3 linked regions of the Callithrix jacchus genome follow. The protein of the gene in region 1 interacts with the protein of each later gene in a pairwise test. Links are inferred from orthologs where the notes say so. Each region holds a gene or a part of one and is shown on either strand. Other genes may lie near its edges.

Region 1 (3,748 bases):
TTCACACTCTGACCTCGCTCTGCTCTATCCTGTCAGTGTCGTTTGACCTGGTATCAGGGGTGCAGGGCCACCAGCTCTGACCCCAGGTCCAGTTTAGACTCTGCCCCTACCTGGGTGTGACCCGGGTCCATCTCTTCAGCTCTCAGCCTCGCCTTGCTCTCCATAAACTTTTGGGGTTAGTTTGGATGATCTCTAAAACATGGCCCTGGTGCTCCTTGCCAGTAGAGTGCAGCGGGATTTGGAGGGAGTGGAAACTTAGTGTGAACAGGAGGAGTGCCTCAGAAGGCAGTAAAAGTTGGCAGGAGGAGAGGAAAAGAAGCGCCTAGGGGTACATATCGCACTAGCGGCAAAAGGCCCTGACTCCTTAGTTTGCAAGAAGAATTACCCCAGGTCCGGTCTCTTTCGCGTAGCCTGGAGCTGAGTCTCAAGCTGAGAAATCCGGTCGGACCAGTGGGGGGCTCCACCAGGCGCGGTCTCAGAATGCCCAAGAGCCCCAGCGTCGCCCGGGGTCTCCTAGAGTGGGTCGTGGTGGGCACTGAAGAGCCATCAGAGGGGCAGCCCGCTACCGCGTCGGTTCTTCCCGGTCCCCAGTCCGCAGGTGGCCGCCACCTCGGCCCCGCCTCCGCCCTCCCACCTCCATTCCTGGCCCCGCGGGCCCGAACCGTCCCTCTCGCAACCGATCCTCTGGCGGGGGCGCGGGGGATGCGAATTCCTAGAAGCCTGAAGGGGCTACCCAGAGTTGGAAGTTCGTATCCCGGAGAATGCTGGAGGTTCCGGCTCACACACCCACTCCGGGCACGGAATCGGTGGGGGGGGGGGGTGCCGGGAGGAAGAACGCCCGGCTCCTCATCCCCCATCCCCTTACACCCTAGAGCCCAGCTGCAAGCGTCCGGCACCCCAGGCTGACTCAGAGGTGCCTGGGTAGCGGGTGGTGGCGGGAGGGGACCAGGTAACGGCAGGTCCGAGGGCTGGTCGCTGGGCCCAGCCGGAGACGCCCAGGGGCTGCGTGGCTACCTCCGGGGCACCCGCCCCACCTCCGCCGCTGAGCCCGGAGGGGGACCGTGAGTCAGATCTCGGGCGCCCGCGGGTCGGGCGGGGAGGGTGGGCAGGTCAGGAAATGACATCAGAGGCCTGTGCTCGGGGAGTTGGGGTCCGAGCCGGGCCGGGGTGGCGGGGGCGGCTGTGAGTGGGGTTGCGGGGCCGGACTTCGGCGGAGCCTCGGGCCTGGGGCAGGATCCGGGCCCCTTCCTGGGGGTGTTTCCTGCCTGGTCCGCCCTTCCCCGCTCTCCCCGCCCCCTCTCCGGGCAGCTCCTTGTATGGTCTGGGCGCCTCTCTCTCCCCGCCCCCTCTCTCCTCCCTCCCTCCTCCTTCCGTGGGTCCTTCCCCGCCCGGCCGGAGGCTGCTCCGGACCGGGACGCAGAATCCGCGGACCCGGCGCCGAGGCGGCCACCCGAGACGCGGCGCGCACGCTCCGGCCCGCGGTGAGGCGCTGGGAGCGGCCGGGCGGCCCCACGGAGAGGGGGTGCGGGGCGCCGGGAGGGGGCGCGTGGGGGTCGCCGAGAGCAGCTGGGACCGCCGGGGGCTCCTGAACCGGACTCGGCGCTGCGTAACCCGGTGTCCCACCCCAGCAGCCCGGCCTGGCCATGGCGGCCCCCCGCCCGTCTCTTGCGATCTCCGTTTCGGTCTCGGCTCCGGCTTTTTACGCCCCGCAGAAGAAGTTCGGCCCTGTGGTGGCCCCAAAGCCCAAAGTGAATCCCTTCCGGCCTGGGGACAGCGAGCCTTCCCCGGCGCCTGGGGCCCAGCGCGCACAGATGGGCCGGGTCGGCGAGGTCCCCCCGCCTCCCCCGGAAGGTATGCAGCGGGGCTTGGGGACTGGACCTCGGCAGGCGCCGGGGTGGGGGGCAGTAGTTTCGGGAATTTGGGGATGTCTGGAAAGGTTGTTGCCGAGGGGGCTGGGCGCAGCCACCCTGTCCCGAGCAGATGTTCTTACCTCATCGTGGAGCTCGTGGCTGGGAGCCAGGGCTCCTGGGACCGTTCCAAGTCCCCCGCCTGGGGGTGGGAGGCGGGAATGTGGGCCACGAATCTTACCCTCCGGGTCCGTTTTCCGAAGTGTAACGGGAGCTGCACCACTTCTCCGCCATGCCCCTGGCCTTTCCTGACCCGGTGTTCTCAGGGTGCCCTGTGCCCCTTTTTTGCTTTCCCACACGCTCCGGGACCCCCAAGAGTTCTTGGGTCAGGGGTTAGAGTGGTAAACCGAGCTTGGGTGAGGGTAGACGGACCCCGGCCGACGTCTCTCCTCTTCCTACCCCAGACTTTCCCCTACCCCCACCTCCCCTCGCTGGGGATGGCGACGATGCAGAGGGTGCTCTGGGAGGTGCCTTCCCGCCGCCCCCTCCCCCCATCGAGGAATCGTTTCCCCCTGCGCCTCTGGAGGAGGAGATCTTCCCTTCCCCGCCGCCTCCGCTGGAGGAGGACGGAGGGCCTGAAGCCCCCATACCGCTCCCACCACAGGTATGGAGACCTGGGACGGGCGGCCGCACCAGGACACCCCCAACGAGAGGAGAAGGTCCTTTCTTCTTACCTCCTCTGCACCTCTGCCCTGTTGGGGGAGGGGGGGTGGAGGCATGGAATAGGTGCTCTGACCTCTGACCCTCTAGCCCAGGGAGAAGGTGAGCAGTATTGACCTGGAGATCGACTCTTTGTCCTCACTGCTGGATGACATGACCAAAAATGACCCTTTCAAAGCCCGGGTAAGGGAACAGAGAGTAGGAAAAGCAGGGTCCAAGGCCAGAGAGACTGGGGATAGAGCTATGGAGGATGGTGTTCTCCTGACTGCATCTCTCTTCCCTCTCCCTCCCCTTGCAGGTGTCATCTGGATATGTGCCCCCACCAGTGGCTACTCCATTCGTTTCTAAGTCCAGTACTAAGCCTACAGCCGGGGGCACAGCACCCTTGCCTCCTTGGAAAGCCCCTTCCAGCTCCCAGCCTCTGCCCCAGGCTCCCACTGTGAGCCAGACACAGTTCCCTGTTCCACCCCAGCCCCAGCCCCAGGCTAAGCCTCAGGTTCATGTCCAGCCCCAGCCTGTGTCTTTGGCTAACACTCAACCCCGAGGTTCCCCAGCCCCATCTCCGGCACCAGCCCCTAAGTTTTCTCCAGTGACTCCTAAGTTTACTCCTGTGGCTTCCAAGTTTAGTCCTGGAGCCCCAGGTGGACCTGGGTCACAGCCGAATCAAAAATTGGGGCACTCCGAAGCTATTTCTGCTGGCACAGGCACCCCTCAACCTCCCAGCTTCACCTATGCTCAGCAGAGGGAGAAGCCCCGAGTGCAGGAGAAGCAGCACCCTGTGCCCCCACCGGCTCAGAACCAAAACCAGGTGAGGGATGCTGGTAGGACAAGGCTGGGACCCGGGCACTGGGGCGGGACTGAGTCAGGAGCCAGAGCATCAGCACGAAGGTGACTGGAGAGTCAGAATGGACATAGGGCTGGTGGGATAGGAATTCTTATCCTGCAGGGTTAGCCTGGTGAAACAAACAATGGTAAGAAAATGCTCCTCTGGAGAAGAGAGGCCTTGCTGGGTGGGGCCTGACTGGGAGGGCGCAGAGAGCACAGGCTCTGGATTAGGAGGAGGAGGATCTGGTGGACCTTTCCTTGTGACTTTGTCCCAGAATGTTAAAGGGAGGGATGAGATCACCAGTCCCACCTTGGTTTTTCCCATTCTTGGTTCTCGTGTTAATCTCCCTGCTCCT
Region 2 (3,648 bases), on another chromosome or scaffold:
GAGGATGATAAACTGCTTTTGTGTTAGCCGAGGTCTTATTTGAACAAGCAGTTCTGAGTATCTGTTTCAACTTTTGGAAAAAGGGTGAATGAAATGCACTTTACAAGTTTGTTGTGTAGATCCAGTGAGGTGATATATGTGAGGGCACTTTATTATTTGGAAGGGTTTTAGCAATATAAAATAGTCTATATTTTTCTTTCTTTCTTTTCTTTTTTTTTTTTTGAGATGGAGTCTCACTCTGTCGCCCAGGCTGGAGTGCAGTGGTGTGATCTCGGCTCACTGCAACCTCTGCTGCCCGGATTCAAGCAATTTTCCTGCTTCAGCCTGCTGAGTAGCTTGGATTATAGGCGCCTGCTACTGTGCCTGGCTAATTTTTTTGTATTTTTAGTAGAGACGGGGTTTCACCATCTTAGCCAGGCTGGTCTTGAACTTGTGATCCACCCGCCTGGGCCTCCCAAAGTGCTAGGATTACAGGCATAAGCCACCGCGCCTGGCCTAAAATCATCTACATTTTTCTTAGCAATCAGTTTAATAAGCAGAGTTTCCTATTGTAAATAGCTTGGACTTAGGGTAATATTAAAAGTAGTTTGTCGTCTCAGAACAAAGTAGCTGTGTGGTGAGGGGTGTGTTGCATCTATTTCAGATTCTACAGTTTGTATAATTTCGTTGGTGATGTATCAGTTGGTAACCAGCTATTTCCTACCTTTTCCGAGCAAAACAGGAGGAAGGAAGGTTGAGGCTGTCGTACTGACCAGGTTGTGAATTTTGGAAAGAAATTCCTGCATTGAGAGGCATTTTGAAGTTGTGGAAATGATAGAAATACTTACTGGGTTTAATCACGCATGGAGGAGTCTGCTACTCTGGATCTCAAAAGTGCCACGACCGCTGTAGCCGCTGCCCAGAGGTTAGAAGAGGTTCTGTTTCGTAACCGCATAGTACACAGCACCTCCTGCGATGGGAGATGCTTCCTGCTGGGCACTGTGGCTCACGCCTGTAATCGCTCAGGAGGCCAAGGCAGGAGGATCCTTGAGCCCAGGAGTTTGAGACCGGCTTAACCAACATAGACCTTGTCTCTACAAAAGTAAGAAAATTAGCCCGGTGTGGCGGAGCATGCCTGTGGTTCCAGCCACTTGGAAGGCTGACGTGGGAGGATCTTTGGAGCCCAGGAGGTGGAGGCTGCAGTGAGCTATGATGGTGCCATGCACTCTAGCCTGGGTAACAGACTGAGACCTTGTCTCAAAATAATAAATAGGATACATAAATAATTTTTTTTTTTTTTTTTTAAAAAGGAGGTGTTCCTCAGCTCATTCCTACTGGTGGGCCAAGTTGGCACACCTTTTTTTTTTTTTTGAGACAGAATTTTGCTCTTGTCACCCAGGCTGGAGTGCAATGATGTGATCTGGGCTCACTGCAACCTCCACCTCCCAGGTTCAAGCGATTCTCCTGCCTCAGCCTTCTGAGGTAGCTGGGATTACACATGCCTGCCACCATGCTCAGCTATTTGTGTGTGTGTGTGTGTGTGTGTGTGTGTGTGTGTGTGTGTATATTTTTAGTTGAGATGGGGTTTCACCCTGTTGGCCAGGCTAGTCTTGAACTCCTGACCTCAGGTGATCCACCCACCTTGGACTCCCAAAGTGCTGGGATTACAGGCGTGAGCCACCTCGCCCGGCCACCTTTTTATAATTAAGAGGCTACTTTGAGGGCAGGGTTGGCTGGAGCCACAGAGACAAATATGGAAGGGGAGTCTGTATTTTTTTTAACCTTTTGCTCCAACAGTGGGGTGCAAGAACTGACCCATGGGCTTGTTAACACAGTGCTCTGAGCTCACATCGACTTGGGTGTAGTGTTTATGTACAGAAATGAAAGGCCTTATTTTTAAGTTCCTGCCTATGGGGATGGGCTCTTTCAGGTTAATACAGGTCATTTGAGGGCTTGTCTCAGTTTCTCCTAGTGAATTGGACTCCCTGATGTACTTTTCTGAACCTAGGGGTAGGAAGGGCAAGATGACCAATTACCATGAAAACAACTTGCCATTAAGCATGGGTTTCCTGTTCTACTGGCTGCTTGCTGTCAAGAAGGATTTGCAGTGAGAGTGAGTTTGCTCTGGACGGAGCTGGTGTGTAGCATGGACACGTCCCATTACACATCAATCACCCTGTGCTGTGCTTTCTCCTCCCCAGTTCTGACCTTGGGAGGGGCTGGACAAACTGGCTGCTGGTGTTCTGTTTTCCCAGGCTGGCTGGCTAGGCTTTCCAGAAGTTACCTGGATTCTTTTTTAATAAGTGATGAGCAGTCAGTGTGAGGTACCTGGGAAGCGTTGAAATGGATGGTGAAGTATCTGGGTCCTAGCACTGGCTGTCATTCACTAGCTGGGTAACCTTGAATAGGTCAGTTGGCCTTTGCTTGTTAAGGGAGAGGGTTTGATTAGATGCATGTCAGTTCCGCTCCTGATTTCATCGAGTAGTTACTGTATACAAGGTGCTGTGGGAGCTCAGGTCTGTGCCATCAGGATGCTGACAGCCTGCTTCAGGTGCATGCGGTGGCTGGGCAAAGTCTGTTCAGTGCCATGGGAGGGAAGGCCGTGTGTCCCTCGTGTGTCCTCTCCCTGGGCACAAAAAGGAAGGGCTCCTCCCCCAGGCTTGGAAGGCTCCCTGGAAGACGGGGCATCCAAGTGAGACCTGAAGGATGAGTGGGAGTTGGAAAGATGCAAGTGGGAGGAAAGGAGGCGAGTTCTTTGTGTTCTCATTCTGATGCTCTGCTTCTGTTCTCTCCAAATGGTTTCTCATCTCCGATAAAAGACAAGTTCTTCCTGATGTTTTAGTAGCCCTTCCAGTTGCCATTTTGGCTGTTGTGTGTGGGCTCTGAAGTATTGCTAGAAGTGAGAGTGAGGAGGCGTGGAGGAGACAGAGGGAAGGACCTGGAGGTATCCTCCCCGGGATTATTTGCTTTTGAATTCATAGAAAGCCACAACATTGGGTTAAGCTTGGGTGATGGCAGAGGGTTCATGGGGATGATGAAGGAGTCACGTACCTGAAAAGTGGTGCTTGTGGGTTCCAGGTGTCACTTTAAAGTGGACCTCAATCAACTGTGAGCCAGTTAACCCTGGGCATAGACTCACTCTGCTGGAGTACTGAGGTGGTCCTGCACAGCAAAGGGAAGGCGGTGCTATGGCCATCTGAGTCACCACCTTTATCCCGTCACAGCTCCGGAGCCACCCAGGTTCCTGGGTTCTTTTCTAAGGTTTTTTTCCCCCCATATTTGCTCTTTCTTTCCACACCATTTAACATATTCCTGCCCCGTGTTTTAGGTCACACTCAGCCAATACCAGAGAGAAGCAGAACAGAGTAACGCGGCCCTTCAGAGAGAGGAGAACAGAGTGGAGCAGAAAGAGGCAGAAGTCGGAGAGCTGCAGAGGCGTGTGTTAGGGATGGAGACGGTAATCGGGGATCCTGAGCTGCAGAGGCACGTGTTAGGGATGGAGACGGTCATCTGGGATCCTGAGCTGCAGAGGCATGTGTTAGGGATGGAGACGGTCATCTGGGATCCTGAGCTGCAGAGGCGCGTGTTAGGGATGGAGACGGTAATCGGGGATCCTGAGCTGCAGAGGCATGTGTTAGGGATGGAGACGGTCATCTGGGATCCTGAGCT
Region 3 (3,748 bases), on another chromosome or scaffold:
TGTGTACAAAGATATAAATTAAGCCACAATAATCATGTTCTAAATATTTAAGTAGTACATTCTACCATGCAACATACATCTGTAATAAACATAAAGTATGCCTATCTGTTTAATTTTACCTACATGGGTGTGAAATATATGGTGTTAGCTTTCGCAAAATGATAAAGACCACTACCCTTCACAACATATTGGTTCTAAAGTCATTGATAAACAATCTTATCCAAAACAACTCCAAGAGAACCACCTGCTAACTACAGTTACCACTTTAGACCTGACAGTTTATGTAACACAAGTTAGCTCAGCTATAATTGCACTTCAATAAAAACAGATCAAAGCTGGAAGAGGGTAGATCCTTAGGGTTTTAATTGGTAGCATTGCTACCCCTAATAGTTATATAATAAATAATAAGAAATCAAAGAACAACATTTCATGGAAATCTACAGTGAGATAACATGGCAGAGTAAAGAGTAATATTTGTGTTTAAATATTACTGCCGCTGCTTAACTGTGTGACTCAGGCAAGGTACTGAACCTCTCTGTGCCTCCATCTCCTCACTTGAAAAATGGGAAAACACATAGTGCCTCCCTCACATGATCCAATGCCTGTCACATAGTAGTCACTAAATCTTAAAAACTGTTGCCAGTATTGTAATTGTTGCTGGTCATTGTCATTATTACTGCAATTTACAAAGAACTTTCACATACAGTAGCTAATGACTATTAAGTAATAGCATAAAGAAATACTTAATTTAAAGCACAATTACAACACATGTCAAATATATGGGAAGGGGTATGATTTCCACCACCATCCTTTGTGCTGCCCTCTGGTTTGTCAGAAAGAGCCAGCCATATCTAAACTGTGATTGGTTGGATGTAAAAGTAAGTAACAGACAGAGTAGTTAATGACAGCTAACATTTAAGGAGTCCTCACAATGTTCCACATAGTTTATTCAGCATTTTAGATGTACTACCATTATTTAATCTTCTTATAAGTGTTACAGCTGAGGGATGGGGCCCAGCCAGGTTACATAACCTTCCCAAGGTTACTGTGGAGTCAACACGGGCAGGTTGACTTTGGAGGACATGCCAGCCCACTGCCCTCCTGCCCAGGACTGACTTCCTTTGAAAACAAACATTTGTTAAACATTCCAATCACTTGGCTCATTATCAGCAACAGAAACAACCAGTATTGAGCTCATCTCTCTAAATAAAGACACAGGCACATATTCACTTTACAGGGGTTACCATTCCTCTGAACCACTAATTCTCTTAGAACTGTTAACAGGGATGAACTAAATTATCATCCCTAGTAAGCAACATTTTTCCTTGTACTTCTTGAATTCTAGCTTACATATTTATCATAAAATAATATGTTCAATCATTCTATAATTCTGGGATTCCCTTGAAATGTAATATGACTGATCCCAGTTCCTAAAAAATGTCACAACAAAAATGCCCCTTGCACTAATATCCTTACCTAGATCAGGGTTCTTAGCAAACAGTTCAGTAATCCATAAATCCTAAAATTGTAAATAAATATTATATGCATATATATATATATATATATATATATATACACACACACACACACACACACATACACATATACATACACACATTTCCTCTTCTGGAAGACAGGTGCATTAATTAGATACTTCAGAAGGCCCCAAATTGTTAAAAATGACTACTCATTTAGATAGAGGTCCTCCCAAGACAAATTACATCATTTTATTCATTTTAAAGTCTTTGGGGGTTCTCAAATGGAATATATACTGCAATTCAATACCTTATGATTTCATGCCAGAGTGACAGCAAAACTCATAAGGGACAGGATTCTGGATTAAGAATGAGGAAACTTGCTCTAGCAGAAATTCTCTGTATAGGTGACCTTGGGGAAATCACTTAAAATTTTAGGACTTTGTTCTAAGATCTGGAAAGTGACTGTGTTTTAAATGCTGATTTCAGGGTTTCCCCACAGCTCTGTGCCTCTATAACATAATTCTACAGGTGCAATGAAAATTAAGAGAGAAATTACTCTAGCCACTTACATCACTAATGAGTTCCGTGCATTTTCTGGCCAATTCCATGCTTAGGTCTTCAATAACAGGCTTATAGAAGACCTATTGGGGAAAAAAAAAGGAAAGGAAACATTTTTCTCAGCATCAATTTAGAGAATAAAACGTTGATCATGAGTACATGTTTTCTCACTCACCTGGTCTTCTTCATTTTCTTCTTCCCCTGTTTTTTCTTCTTCAGTTTCATATTTTACATCCTCAGTTACAGGGACCCTCATTTTTACCCTTTAAAATACTTATATTTTTAAAAATCTACTCATAGGCGTCCTTTTGCGTACCAGTGCCCTTGAGATGCTGACGTCTCTGGTGCTCTGGCAGGAATGCCCTTACCCATGCCTCAGCCCTATTTAGCCCACACTTCACTCCTTATCTCAGTGGTGTGTCAGTGAGCAGAACAGAATCCCAGAGGTCTACCAGGGCTGGCCTCACAAGTGGAAATAACATATTCTTAGGCAAAATTAGATTTCATGAACTTTTCAAGTCAACATTTTTTCCACTGGTTAAGAAATCCAAAAGAGAAAATTTATTCATTTTTTACTAATTCTATTCATTCATAAAAGAGCATAAAAAGGACTTAGAGATTCTGGGAAAATTATCCAGCTCTAACACTTAAGATAGCACAGTCCAAAGCCTGTTATCGCAGAGATTCCTTGACTCTGTCTAAATAAAGCTTTCAATGGAATGTCAGACTTCTTTCTGACTTGGGGTAGTAAATCTGGATCATTCAAACTCATTTTATTAACCTAAATTATATGTTTTATGAGACATACCAGTACTTTTCACATCCTAAAAAATGCCCACTTTATATTAGCTGATTAGAGGCTATTTATTATGAAAAGCCCTTTGAGCCCCTTCAAAGAATCTATTCTGAGTTAATTATGACTGTTAGTCTCATACTGGTGAGTATGGTATTGTATTAATTGTAAACATCATTAAACATGAGAAGTTGCAGTTAACACAAGTTAATATATCATTTAACAACTCTAGAAACATCAGTTTCAAAAATCGTCACCATCATCTTTGAATTCTGCAATTCTACTCATGCCAATTTTTACAAATTCATTAGTAATTTGAATTATTACTCAATGGGTACTCCACATTCTGAAAAGTTTGGAAAAATAAACCACCACAATATTTGTAATATGGTATATGTCCTTAGTTATGTAAAACCAAGGTTAAAAATACGTTTCTCAAAACAAATATTTTAGTGTCAATTCAAGCAATTCCAAGATGCTCTACAACTTACAGTTTATTAATCTGGTTATATAAATCCTAGGATAAATTAATTTTACCAAGCCATAGCATATTAGCATTGGGCATAACAAATACCCTACAATGAATAGTAATACTGATAATACAAAACACAATTAATAATAATACATCATTCTAAGTAGTCAAGCATGTTTTTCTCTCTTGATATCATATCTAGTTTTCCATGCATTGTAAAAAAAAAATGCCCTTAATTAAACTGAAAATTCTAACAAGAAAAACATTCCATACAGTCATCATGTATAAATTATTTCTGAAATTGTGTTCCGTGAGGCAAAAGTTCCACAAAAGATTCTAGGGGAGAAAAGCAGCTTTCTTAAACAAATATGTGTAAGAAACCTGTACCCCAATCTCTGTCCCTGCCACTTAGAGGTTGACAAGGCATATTGACATGCTGGAAGTTCT

What was found.
Region 2: the proteins of ZYX (region 1) and TUFT1 interact in binary tests that used the Homo sapiens proteins (3 or more experiments, as listed by UniProt). The link is inferred for Callithrix jacchus from reciprocal best matches to the Homo sapiens genes ZYX and TUFT1.
Region 3: the proteins of ZYX (region 1) and NEBL interact in a two-hybrid assay, tested with the Homo sapiens proteins (2 studies listed by BioGRID and IntAct). The link is inferred for Callithrix jacchus from reciprocal best matches to the Homo sapiens genes ZYX and NEBL.

What each region holds. Positions count from the first base shown.
Region 1 is NC_133512.1:104,123,954-104,127,701, reverse strand, and holds the start of ZYX (zyxin), read left to right. Parts: upstream 1-1,416; 5' UTR 1,417-1,481; intron 1,482-1,628; exon of another isoform or gene 1,629-1,631; 5' UTR 1,632-1,643; coding exon 1,644-1,851; intron 1,852-2,311; coding exon 2,312-2,511; intron 2,512-2,657; coding exon 2,658-2,750; intron 2,751-2,865; coding exon 2,866-3,375; intron 3,376-3,748. UniProt on the Homo sapiens protein: Adhesion plaque protein. Binds alpha-actinin and the CRP protein. Important for targeting TES and ENA/VASP family members to focal adhesions and for the formation of actin-rich structures.
Region 2 is NC_133519.1:11,478,316-11,481,963, forward strand, and holds part of TUFT1 (tuftelin), read left to right. Parts: intron 1-3,307; coding exon 3,308-3,648. UniProt on the Homo sapiens protein: Involved in the structural organization of the epidermis. Involved in the mineralization and structural organization of enamel.
Region 3 is NC_133508.1:21,477,666-21,481,413, forward strand, and holds the start of NEBL (nebulette), read right to left. Parts: upstream 2,397-3,748; 5' UTR 2,293-2,396; coding exon 2,212-2,292; intron 2,120-2,211; coding exon 2,048-2,119; intron 1-2,047. UniProt on the Homo sapiens protein: Binds to actin and plays an important role in the assembly of the Z-disk. May functionally link sarcomeric actin to the desmin intermediate filaments in the heart muscle sarcomeres.